Mus musculus: one gene and its partners. The protein of the gene in region 3 purifies or fractionates together with the protein of the main gene of each other region. This does not show direct contact. Links are inferred from orthologs where the notes say so. Each region holds a gene or a part of one and is shown on either strand. Other genes may lie near its edges. The genes, in order: Itgb1, Itga3 and Cd151.

Region 1 (3,645 bases), on a different chromosome or scaffold from region 3:
CCTGGCATCCAGAGCACAGCTATGGTTGCTACACAGATGCCAATTAGGCCTACACTGTGAATCCTTTTTGTAAAGACACCAGCATGTCCATGACAAACCTCTAACAGGTATGTCTAAGACCAACAAGTAGCACATTGCAGACGTGGGGGACATATATTAAAATCTACTCTAAGCCCTTGGTGATAGCCCACACACACATACATACATTCACATGTATGCATATAAATCTTCACAACACAAAATTAAGATGTAGTTAATAAAACTGGACCTATGTCACATTAAATTTGTAACATAAAAACCACAATAACTTAAGCAGTATTGGTATAATAATTCACCTTCCATTCTCCTGAAGCAAAAGATAGCAACTAGACTAGAGAATATTCCTCTATGGTAGAGTTCATTGTTTTATCTCTACCACTAAACCTTAAAAACAGAGGATAGTATTGCCAACTAACAGCAAACTTATACAGTGATTTCAGATTAAAAACAAACAACAACAAAAAAAATAGTACAACTCTCATGGCACACTTCATTGTTACACAATTAAGAATTTTTAGGACATAAAAAATGGTACATAAAAGGCAGCAAATATTCTCTTTGAAGTATACTCTATCAGCACTCTCCTCTGGCTCTAGTGGTGTAGGGTCAGTAAAGTGAATGTGACTATGTGAAACACTTTGGCAGTACTTACTTATGCTCTGCACAGACGCCAAGGCAGGTCTGACATGTCTCACAAGTTGGCCCTTGAAACTTGGGATCTGTGCACTTACAAGCACCACATTCACAAATACCCCGGCCATTGCAGATCTGACCATTTGACGCTAGACATGGACCAGTGTCCAAAGAACAGTCACATGCACTGCCAGTGTAATTGGGATAGCATTCACAAACACGACACCTGCACACGCCATTGCCTGCAACGAAAAAGATCATTTCTCAAAACAATGGTAAAATGTATAATCACAGCAATTATTCACAAATTAAAAACAAGCCACAACATAGAAGAAAGCCCCTCCCCTTCTGTGTGTTAACCCAGAGACTCTCAGATATCTGATCTCATTAGAGGAACTATGTGTGTAGCTACTGCTGGTGCTTACCCACCTCCACAAATTAAGCCATTAGACCTATCACAGTTGAAGTTATCACACTCGCAGAATTTTCCAGAGTAAATTTCATTTGTATTATCTCTCTTCCTACACACACACTGTCCACAGACACATTCTCCATTGTTACTGCAGATTTCCGAACTGTTCTCTTTCCTGCAGTAAGCGTCCATGTCTTCACTGTTCACTTCATCTGTGCTACATTCACAGTGCCTCCCAACACGCCCCTCATTGCACCTGCAGAAAGATCCAAACACAGTCACATAAAACAAAAAGTGTAACAATTTCCTCACATTAGCAAAGTATCAAGTAGGGATGCTCACTCCACATGTACAAACATAAGATAAGTCCACTGTGTTTATATATACACACATGCAAGTAGCAACTCAAGTTCTTATAGAACATACAGGAGCCTTGGGGAAAATTTACCTTTAGCAAGGAACCACTCTGAGCAAAATGAAAGCATACTCCAGCAACAAACAACAAAACAACTAGAAAAATAGAAAAATAGACCAGGCTAACTTTGACCACAGAGTCTGCCTGCCTCTAGTTCCCAAATGCAGGGGAATAAAGGAATGTATCAATTTGCAGGGCTAGATTCTCAAATATTTTCAATTATATTATTGTTACAGACTACCTGCCACTAAATTTGAAGCAAGGGTCTGTTAGGATAAAAAATAGCAATGAATGCAACCCCAAAAGTTGAAAAATACATAAAGTACACAAACTGAAAATAGTACTAGCTTTAACTAAGGGTAAGTTTACTGCACAGATCTAGACTTCTAAAATATCCTACATATCTTGGAGCATGTTCTTGGACACTGGATAAACTGATTTTGCATATGCTAATCAAAAAGAAGACAAAGAATTTTTAAAAAATCCTTTTTGATAAAATGCTGTTTAAACAAAAAGATATCTTAATGTCTCAAGTTAAATATAACAGAAAAAACACAATATTTAAATCATTGCTTAAAATGGGCAATTAATAGTAAACATTAGCTATTCATTTTTCTTTGGGCCAATAAACAAAACCACTGTGATGTGAGACTGACATTTAGATTAAAAGGTTCTATTACTTTAAAGAAAAGGCTGTATTACAAACACAGTTTAGTTTTTAACATAAAAAGTAGCCAAGAAGTCTGGTGAAGGTAAAGGTACTTGTCACCAAACCTGACAACCTTAGGATTCACAAGGTAGACAGAGAACCAACTCTTACAACTGTTCTCACCACAAGCCTGTGCCAAGACACTAGGGTATACACACACACTCACATACACACATATACATACATACATACATACATACATACATAAATGTAAACTTTAAGTACTATTTTATTTTTATCCCAGAAATACAAAATTTAATCCTGGACATGGTAAACATTTTTCTTGTTAACTAAGTCACAGATAAAACTGTCATTTAACACTGAGAGTATTGAGTTCTGCCTATAACCCAAGTACTGAGACAGTAAGATCATAAATTTAGGGTCATCCAAAATAAAACAAAATTTAAAAAGTCACTGTGATGGTTTGTATATCCTTGGACCAGGGAGTGGCACCATCTGAAGGTGTGGCCTTGTTGGAATAGGTGTGACCTGGTTGGAATGGGTGTGTCGCTGTGGGTGTGGATATAAGATCCTCACCCCAGTTGCCTGGAAGTCAGTCTTCCACTAGAAGCCTTTGGATGAAGACATAGAACTCTCAGCTCCTCCTGCGCCATGCCTGCCGGGATACTGCCATGCTCTCACCTTGATGATAATGGACAGAACTTCTGACTGAACCTGTAAGCCAGCCCCAATTAAATGTTGTTTTTATAAGACTTGCCTTGGTCATGGTGTCTATTCACAGCAGTAAAACCCTGACTAATACAGTCACCATTGACAGTTTGTACAAAAATGTTTCTATCTACCTTTTCTTTTCAATGTATTTTGCTGTCAAGAACTGGAAGTGCCATTCAGAGAACAAAGCCCAAATGCTGCCCTGAGAGACAGTGGACACACTGCTTACCTAGCTAAAAGCTTAAGAACAGAGAGATCCTTAAGAGTATATGAGTGACTGGAGCAAAGGATTTGTGTCTTTATTTTATACAGGCTTCCCAGATAAAGTGGCCTATACTGTCTGTTGTGCTGCAGCAAGGCTGCACTTACCTGCAGGCTCCACACTCAAATGTCCCATTTCCCTCATGGCACTTGGGACTGGCTGGGATGCCATGGCTTTGACAATTGCACTTACAGATGAACTGAAGAACGACCTCTACTTCTTCAGTGAAGCCCAGAGGTTTAATTTTAATGGTTTCAGACTCCTTATTTGGACATTTATTAGCAGTTATGCTAATTTCAAATTGAACCTTAAAGGAAAAAAGATTAATAAATTTAGCAATGAACATGAAAATATTTCAAATGCTAGTGCTTTAACTGCTAAGCCATCTCTCCAGCCCCACATTTTTATGCATGTTTTTCTTTTTCACAGAAAACGGTCATACAACATACCTCATCTCCAATAGAAATGTTGGAACACTTTCGTCCATTTTCTCCTGTCCCATT
Region 2 (3,645 bases), on a different chromosome or scaffold from region 3:
AATGGCATTAATAAGAGCAGTGAACGTTTGCTTATTTGTTTGTTTTGAGATAGGATTTCTCTGTATAGCCCTGGCTGACCTGGAACTCCCTATGTAGACCAGGCTGGCCTTGAACTCAGAGATCTACCTGCCTCTGTGCTACTACCACCCGGCTAAGCTAACACTTCCTGAGCACTTCCTTATACACCAAGCACAAGCTCTTCTCTCATAGCAACTTTCAAATTTTTTTAATCTTATTTTTTGTGTAGAGGTATTCTGCCTGAATGCATGTCTGTGTACCATGTATGTGCTTGGCACCTGCAGAGGGCAGAAGAGAGGGCATCAGATTCCGGGGAACTGGAGTCAAATCCAGCATTGGGAGGCAGAGGCAGGCAGATCTCTGGATTTGAAGCTAGCCTGGTCTACACAGTGAGTTCCAGGCAACCGTGGCTACACAGAAAGTGCTGTGAATTAGCCTCTGGGCTATACAGTATCTAGAAACAGGGGGTGTTCTTGTTTAGTGACTTTTTCTGTTACATCCCAGCTGTAAACACCACCAGCATTTCACATGAGCTTATCCTTAGGCACTGCTAAATCTCTGGTGCTTAGCTAAATATTTGTTGACCGAGTAAGGGTGGGTAAGGAGCTAATCCTAGCGTCTTCAACCACTTAAACAAACTTCGAGACACACACCCACAAACAACAGGGGGTACAGAAGGGTGGTCTCATGAACTGACTGACAGCCCAAAGCTTACAATAGCGTTCTCGGGACAGAAATCACAGTAGTGATGATTATAGGAGTGGCGACCACTCGGAGGTGGCTCAGAGAACTTTCTGGGGTGATGTAAGTATGCTCTGTTTCATGGGTGTTACTGACATAGGCTTATCATTGGTCAGAGCTCATAGAAAATCTGCCCTTTTCACTATAGGTAAATTTTATATAAACTTAAATAATGTCTATCCGGGACACAGAAATTGAGATTCCCAAGGGCTGATATTGAAGAACTGTCAGCAGCAGAAGGTGACAATTGACAGCAGGGAGTGGCACTCAAATCAGTGCCAGGGTGAGCCAGGGCCATCAGGGCTGTGCCTCTTCCGGCAGCCAGCCTCCCAGGAAGGAACGCCTGCCAGCGCCCAACTGCCTGAGGCACTCTCTGCCCTTTCTCCCTCCAAGTTCTCTCTGCTCTTTCCCACGGATGGTGAGCATCCATGCAGGTCGCCCAGGACCCACGCCATGTCCAGCCTCGGGAGAGTACCAGACAACCCTCTCCCCAGAGTTCAGGGATCAGAGAACCCACAGGCCTGTAAAGATACGAGGCCTGGGGCTGGAGAGGTGGCTCAGCGGTTAAGAGCACCAACTGCTCTTCTAAAGGTCCTGAGTTCAAATCCCAGCAACCACATGGTGGCTCACAACCATCCGTAATGAGATCTGACGCCCTCTTCTGGTGCGTTTGAAGACAGCTATAGTGTACTTACATAGAATAAGTAAATAAATAAATCTGTTTAAAAAAACAGAAGTGGACATTTGCAAAGGCCCCAGTCATCAGTGGATCCCCGCCCGACCACTTCTGCCGTCCTCCCTGGCTCGGGGGAGATGATATTAAGCCTTCACTTACCAGGACTCTACCTGCAGGGCCCTGGCTGGCCACAGTCACTCCAAGCCACATATCCTCAATAATGTGATGGTCAGGGTCACCTGTAAGAATGGGAGAGATCACGAGCTCCGGTCCCTTACCCCCTTACTCCATACTCCAGCATCCAAAGCCTCCTGAGGGCAGCAGCTCTCTGTCCTGTCTGTCACTGCTCTGAGCTCACACTGTATATGATCTTCCCTTTTTCCTGTTCCTCTTCCCAGACGGATGAGAAAGAAATCAGCGCTGCTTTTTTGTTTTGTTTTGTTTTGCTTTTTGAGCCAGGATCTCCATTTTACATCTCAAGCTATTCTGCAACCCACTATGTAGCCCATAGTAGATCTAGCCTTGATCTCGCTGTCTTTTCCCCTTAGCTTCAAATGTTGCCTCCCTAACAAGCTAACCTCGTATCTCCCCTTTGGGCCCCCTCTGCCAGGCTCCCGACTTAGCTCTGCCCTCAGGCTCGTCTCACTTTTCTCTGAAATGTCCATCCGTTCACAGTCGTCCTTGTGGGCCGTGAGGGGACACAGGTACACAGCACCAGTCCGGTTGGTATAGTCATCACCCACAGCGAGGTCCCGGGGAGCCCCGGCCAGAAGGCTGGAAAAGGAAGGCGGGTGGGTCAGCCTGGCTTTGCAAGCCTCCCTCCAGTCAGCCTGCAAATCCACACTCTCTGAACATGGGCTCCATACCAATGTCTGGAGATAGGACATCGATAAACCTTGCCTCTGTCTTCCAGGAGGGCCGACCACAGAGGAAAGTGGGCCAGGAAGCTCACACGCCGTAAGGATCTCACAGGGAAAGCATGGAGGTCTGTACACAAGGTGCCCTGGCCTCAGAGTAAGGACAATAGCCAGGGGTCACCCAATGATAAAGGGAGGAAGGACAGCAGAGACAGGGGTACAATATGTACAGGGGCCAGGAAGCATGAGCAAGCCAGTGATTCAGGCACCAGCCCTCTGGACAACGGGAACCCAGAAAGAATATTGGGGGAGGCATACAAGCCAGGACAAAGACCTTAGAGGAACCACAGAAGGGACCCCGGGCAAGGCAGCGACTTGGTTTTCTTTATTTCATTCTCTTTTTGAGACAGGGCCTCATGTAGCCCAGGCTAGGATACTCCCTATTCAACCAAAGACGACCTGGGACTTCTGACCCTCCTGTTTCCACCTTTCATGTGTTGGATTTTCAGGTATGTACCGCCCTGCCCGGATTTAGGTAGTGCTAGGAATTTAATCCAGAGCTTCCAGAAAAAGTACCAGATAGGCACTCTGCCAGATGAGGTTACGTTCCCAGCCCCAGCTGTGGGTTCTTAAAGGGATTCTTTGGCCTCAGAAGTAAAGGTAGTTGTGAAGGAATGAGAGTTATGAGTTCCAGGCCTGGGGGTATCAGAGAAGGCAGAAGAGAGAAGCTGTGTAAGGATGGATGGGTTGTTGGAAGCCTGGATCTCTCCTCTTGAGACTCTCAAGCACATAGCTCTGCGAGGCAGAGATTTCCAGGTGAGCTGAGTGAGGCCTCCACGCGCCCCACCCCCACCTGGAGACAGGCACACCGGTATGGGGTGGGGCTGGATACCAGTGTGGCCCAAGAACAGGGTTCTAGTGGTAGGAGTGGACAAGAGCTATCTGTCACCTTGTCCTCAGAATCTACCTTTAGGGACACCAAGAAATTCCCACAAGGGGGCTAGGACCCTAGAGTCCCATCCCACACCAAAAGGGTGACTTAGGCCGGGCAGACAGGGGATCGGTCCTGAAATCCTATCTCAGACAATCCCTGGGTATTTATAAAGGAAAATTTCTAACTACCACAGGCTATATGAATAGTATCTGGGGCAGTCAGCCCAGCTTCAGACCCAAGTTTTTCCTTCTATCTTCTCCCTATCAATATTCTTCTTAGAACATGCCCTCTGCCACCTTCCTGCCAACTCAGCTTTCTGGATAGCAGCACTTCCCAAGTTTGTCCCAGCAACACTGTGGCCCCGAGGCTCCCAGGCTCCAGGCCTCTGGCCAGTATGGAACTGCTGAGCAATGGCTGT
Region 3 (4,430 bases):
TCGACAGCGCTGCTCACACCCTCGTGGCCTGACTGGTGGTATCTCTTGACCATGGTGTCCTTCAGATTCTCCTTGAGCTCTGTGTTCAGCTGTGGGTAGGATCAAACTCTGGGCAAAGGCAAAGCTGGAGCCAGGACCTCCAATGGGACTGACAGGGCCATGTTCTAGGCACACCCCATGGCCTGTCCAGGCCCTTACCTGCTGATAATAGACATAGGCCAGGATGCCAGCAATGATCTCCAGGAGGAAGATGATGAGGAGCAGGATGAAGTACTAGGGAGCAGGGACCCAGTAAGTGGGGGGTTGCTAGTGCCAGAGTACCACAAAGCCAAGCCCCCAACCCAGGAGGCCAAGCAAGAGGAATTCAGTTAGGAGCTACACTCTGGGGCTGCCTAGCTCCTTCATAGTTCTGAAGCTCGTGTCTGCCCCAACAGGGACAGCCTGCAGTAATACACTCAACCAGTTAAGTCCCCAGAACCAGTACCAGAGGCCCCCTGAGAAATCCATGCAAGGCACCCCTAGCCCCACCGTGTGCCACCATGCCCCACTGACCAAGCGTAACAGGTTCCGTCGCTCCTTGAAAGTGGCACAGCAGCCCAGGACTCCAGTCACCATGACAACAACACCAGCCACCACTAAGATGTAGGCCGTGGCTAGGTAAGTGCTTGAGGCCAGCAGACTAATGTAGTCACTCTTGAGGGCCAGTGTCCAGATGCCCACTGCCATGACAGCCAGGCCGGCCAGCTGCAGAAAGTATATACTGGTCACCACATCTGGCCTGGGTCTGGAAGCTGGGACTGAGCCCCCCAGGCCAGGCCTCCAACATGGGGACTAGGGATGCAGGGAGAAATTAGCTCTTCTCACCCAGAAGCAGCAGTTGTAGGTAAAGAGCAGGTACTTGAGGCAGACTGTGCCACATGTTGCCTTCTTCTCATTGAATTCACCCATCCTGGGCCTAGAGGAACGGGGAGGAGGTCAGATGGCCTGAAGCACCAGGCCTCCAAGTAGGAAGAAAGCTATCTACCAACGGAGACAGGAGGAGATCCAGCAGTCCCCGGATGATTGCAGTTTGGAGCTCAGCCAGCTATCTGCCCTCAGAGGAGCATTCCCAGGAACCTTATGAGTCACTTCCTGAACTAACCTCCTCACAGCCAGACACATGGTGGGTTATCATGGAGGACCCCCCAACATCTGCTGACTCACTCCTGCTGGCAACAGGGGGGGAAGCACCAGCAGACCTTCAGGGTACATTCCTGTTGATCGGCACCCCCAAGCATTCCCTGAGTCCCACAATCAGGCTGCTAGGTACTTACCACTCATACCCGTTCCCAGATATGGCAGAGAGCTCAGGCCACCCTAAGGGACAGTTTGTGAGGACTCTGAGCTGACTCTACTACCAGCCAGGGCAGAGACAATAAGATGCCGGTAGGTGGAGCCTGTACAACCAGCTCTCCTCCCGACTGTAGGGGGAGGTCCCAGTTCCACATATGTGAATGTGCCACTCCTCCAGGAGTCCCCTAGTCACACCCTGCCCTAGACACACTATTGTCTGACTGAGGACAGTGTACAGACCTCGGCTGACGCAGGTCAGATTCCCAGACACACACCTAAGCAGAACTGTTAGCCAGGGGCCTTGAGGCTCTGCCCAGGCACCAGCTCTCACCTCTCAAGTCAGGACCAGCAGGTACAGGTCAAAAGTCACTCTCTGCCCTTCACCTAGCAGGTGGGATCTTGCCACTCCAACTACAGAAGCTTAAGCAGTGGTCAAAATGGTTCTCAGAGCCACCAGATCTGCAAGGAAGCATAACAGGCAGGCCTGCTGTTTTCTACTGGACGGCGGCAGGCCAAAGAACATGGCTGACCTGCCTGATCTAGGGAGGGACCAAATGCCTTCTCCAAGTGCCCCACCTTCCAGTCCCATCCATCACAGTCCCTCCCCCACCAAACAGCAGCGACCGCAAACTGAAGGAGGATGCATCGACTGTCCATTTTGGAAAGTGGGAGAGATTTCAGAGCTCTATTTGGAGATGGGACCCAAAAATGCATGCTGCCTCACTGAAAGCGGGCAATGACATAAAGAAGCCTGGCCACAATGCAAACCCCCGGGGCCAGGCTCTAAAAGCCCAGAATCTATGGGCTTTTAGACACATCCATCAACCTAAGCCAAGAGACAATCAGCAGACTGGATGTAAATTCTCTGTGAAAGTGCCGGTGTGAGAGCCTGGACCAGCCAGAAATAGCTCCTGCGGCCTGGACACAACCGCCCTACACTTAGCTCCTGGACCTGTCCTGGGCCTTCGGCACCCGCCCCACCGACCCGATTAAACACTGAAGTGGGCTGGGCGAGGAATCCCCGCGTCACAGAGATGAAGTCACCACCGCCCCTGCCGCCCTCCCCCGCCCCGTGCCAGTGGGCGGACCTGCGGTCTCAGGGGAGGGAACCGGTGTCCAGGGACAATGAATAGGGTGGTCAGACTTTTAAATTTCTGGGTTTCTGCACGAAAGAGACCGTCAGGCCTGCTCAAGAACCACAGAAGCTCTCTCCCTCACCCCTCCCCCTCCGGCCTTCTAACTGCCCGGCCCCGGCGTCGATCTTCCGGAAAGGAGTCTGCAACCCTGTCCTACCTCAGGCTCTGCCTCCTGGGCGTCCCTGAGGCCAGCTTGGAGACTAGGAACACCAGTGAGCGAGGAACTCAGGACACTGCTCCCCACACCCTCCGGCTATGCTTCACGGAGCACTCACCAACCACGCTTTGAAATACCAGCCCCGGCAGCCACGGTAGGAGCGATCACTCGGAGTACAGAGAACGCTCGGCCCGGGGCCTGCGAGGACACGCCCTGCGCGCGACCCCGCCCCGGGCGCAGCCCCGCCCACGGCCGGCCTGGGCAGGCAAGTCCTAACTGGTTTGGTGCTAAGGCGCGCGCCAGAGAGACCTGTGGGTCTGTAAAGTTAGTTTAAAGGTGCCCCGTTTGTCATCAAAAGCCCCAACTCGCCCAGAGACAGAGGAGCTAGACCAGAGGTAGAACCCAGGTGGGGAGCGAAGAGGTGGGGAAGGTGGCACCTAGCCCACCAGAGGTCCAGAACTGAGGTCAAGACCAGTTTCTCTAGTCTAAGCCGGGAGAACCACTCTAAAGCTGCAGGTTCTAGCGGCTGAAGAAATGCTAGAGGGGAAACTCCAGATACAGTGTGGAGGGTGCCAGAAGATTCCATAGAGACATGAGGGCCCTGCGAGAGGTGCCCAGTGTGGGTGGCATATGGTCTGGCTAGGAACTGTGCCAAAGGATGATGGATAAAGGACCTGGACCAGAAAGCTAGCTGACCACGGAGGTGAGGAGCGGGACCTTCCACGTGTGGACTAGCGTGGGAGCGGACACCTGTTGAAACCTGAGTCCTGGGAGCTTCAGCTGGGAGGAATGGGTGAGGGCTTGGTGAATATCCAGAATCACAGAACACACACAAGCACACAGGAACCCCCAGCTGCAGGAACGAAGGGGTTAATGTGCACCTGTAAACCCCTCCATGTCACCTTGTGCCATGGATACCAAGCATGAACCACAAATGCACCGTGGCTCCCAAACACACAAGAGCCAAGGAGTACACAGTATACAATGGCCTTTATTGGTCCTTCAGACAAAGATTAAGGAAGACAGGATAGCCGGGCGTGGTGGCACACGCGCCTTTAATCCCAGCACTCGGGAGGCAGAGGCAGGCGGATTTCTGAGTTCGAGGACAGCCTGGTCTACAGAATGAGTTCCAGGACAGCCAGGGCTACACAGAGAAACCCTGTCTCGAAACCCCCCCCCCCAAAAAAAAGGAAGACAGGATAAAGACTGAAGGACTGAAGGCCTTGACTACTCTGAGGTTAGCTCCTTCAGGCATGGGATGCCTTCTGGGTAGAGCCACACACTTAGCAAGTATCCGCCACCAAGACCAGTCCCTCCTAGGGGCAGTCCTCTGGATAGGGAAGTGAGTCACTCGGGGCTGGTCATCGGGCACTAGGAAGATGGCCAGAGCCTCGTCTGGGGGGCCGAGCCCAGCCACAGCAGCAGCAGCAGTAGATGGGTCCGGGCTTGTGGGCAATAGCTAGAGCCTTCCTGTGGCTACTGCCCAGCAGCTTGGTCTCACAGGCATCTCTCTCATCTCGAAGCCTCAGATTCAGCTCCCTAGAAAAGAGAGGTAGGAGACCGAGGAGGCTAAGATCTAGAGGAAAAAGTGCATGGGGGAGATGCCTTCCCTGAGTCAAGAGGACTACAGAGCCAGCCGCATGAAGGCTATAGGGCAGACATAAGGACTTCCAGCAACATGGGTAGGAGCCAATACTATCTGGAAACTTGAAACCACTTCCCATTAGCCCAGGCAGGCCTGACCCACCTCAGCAGCTCCAGCTGCCTTAGGAGGCTGAGTTTCTCTTTCTGCATATTCCTGGAGA

What was found.
Region 1: the proteins of Cd151 (region 3) and Itgb1 purify together in Homo sapiens (affinity purification with western blotting; 4 studies listed by BioGRID and IntAct, with this or other methods). This does not show direct contact. The link is inferred for Mus musculus from reciprocal best matches to the Homo sapiens genes CD151 and ITGB1.
Region 2: the proteins of Cd151 (region 3) and Itga3 purify together in Homo sapiens (co-immunoprecipitation; 4 studies listed by BioGRID and IntAct, with this or other methods). This does not show direct contact. The link is inferred for Mus musculus from reciprocal best matches to the Homo sapiens genes CD151 and ITGA3.

Annotation. Positions count from the first base shown.
Region 1 is NC_000074.6:128,720,079-128,723,723, reverse strand, and holds part of Itgb1 (integrin beta-1 precursor), read right to left. Parts: coding exon 3,592-3,645; intron 3,450-3,591; coding exon 3,250-3,449; intron 1,341-3,249; coding exon 1,102-1,340; intron 915-1,101; coding exon 692-914; intron 1-691.
Region 2 is NC_000077.6:95,066,630-95,070,274, forward strand, and holds part of Itga3 (integrin alpha-3 isoform 1 preproprotein), read right to left. Parts: intron 2,570-3,645; exon of another isoform or gene 2,324-2,569; coding exon of another isoform or gene 2,211-2,323; coding exon 2,083-2,210; intron 1,676-2,082; coding exon 1,596-1,675; intron 1-1,595.
Region 3 is NC_000073.6:141,465,780-141,470,209, reverse strand, and holds the start of Cd151 (CD151 antigen), read right to left. Parts: upstream 2,849-4,430; 5' UTR 2,744-2,848; exon of another isoform or gene 2,439-2,743; intron 1,792-2,438; 5' UTR 1,664-1,791; intron 1,422-1,663; exon of another isoform or gene 1,314-1,421; intron 956-1,313; 5' UTR 949-955; coding exon 865-948; intron 745-864; coding exon 553-744; intron 274-552; coding exon 199-273; intron 90-198; coding exon 1-89. Other genes in the region: Cracr2b (EF-hand calcium-binding domain-containing protein 4A), read right to left, coding at 3,987-4,164, 4,373-4,430. UniProt on the Homo sapiens protein: Structural component of specialized membrane microdomains known as tetraspanin-enriched microdomains (TERMs), which act as platforms for receptor clustering and signaling.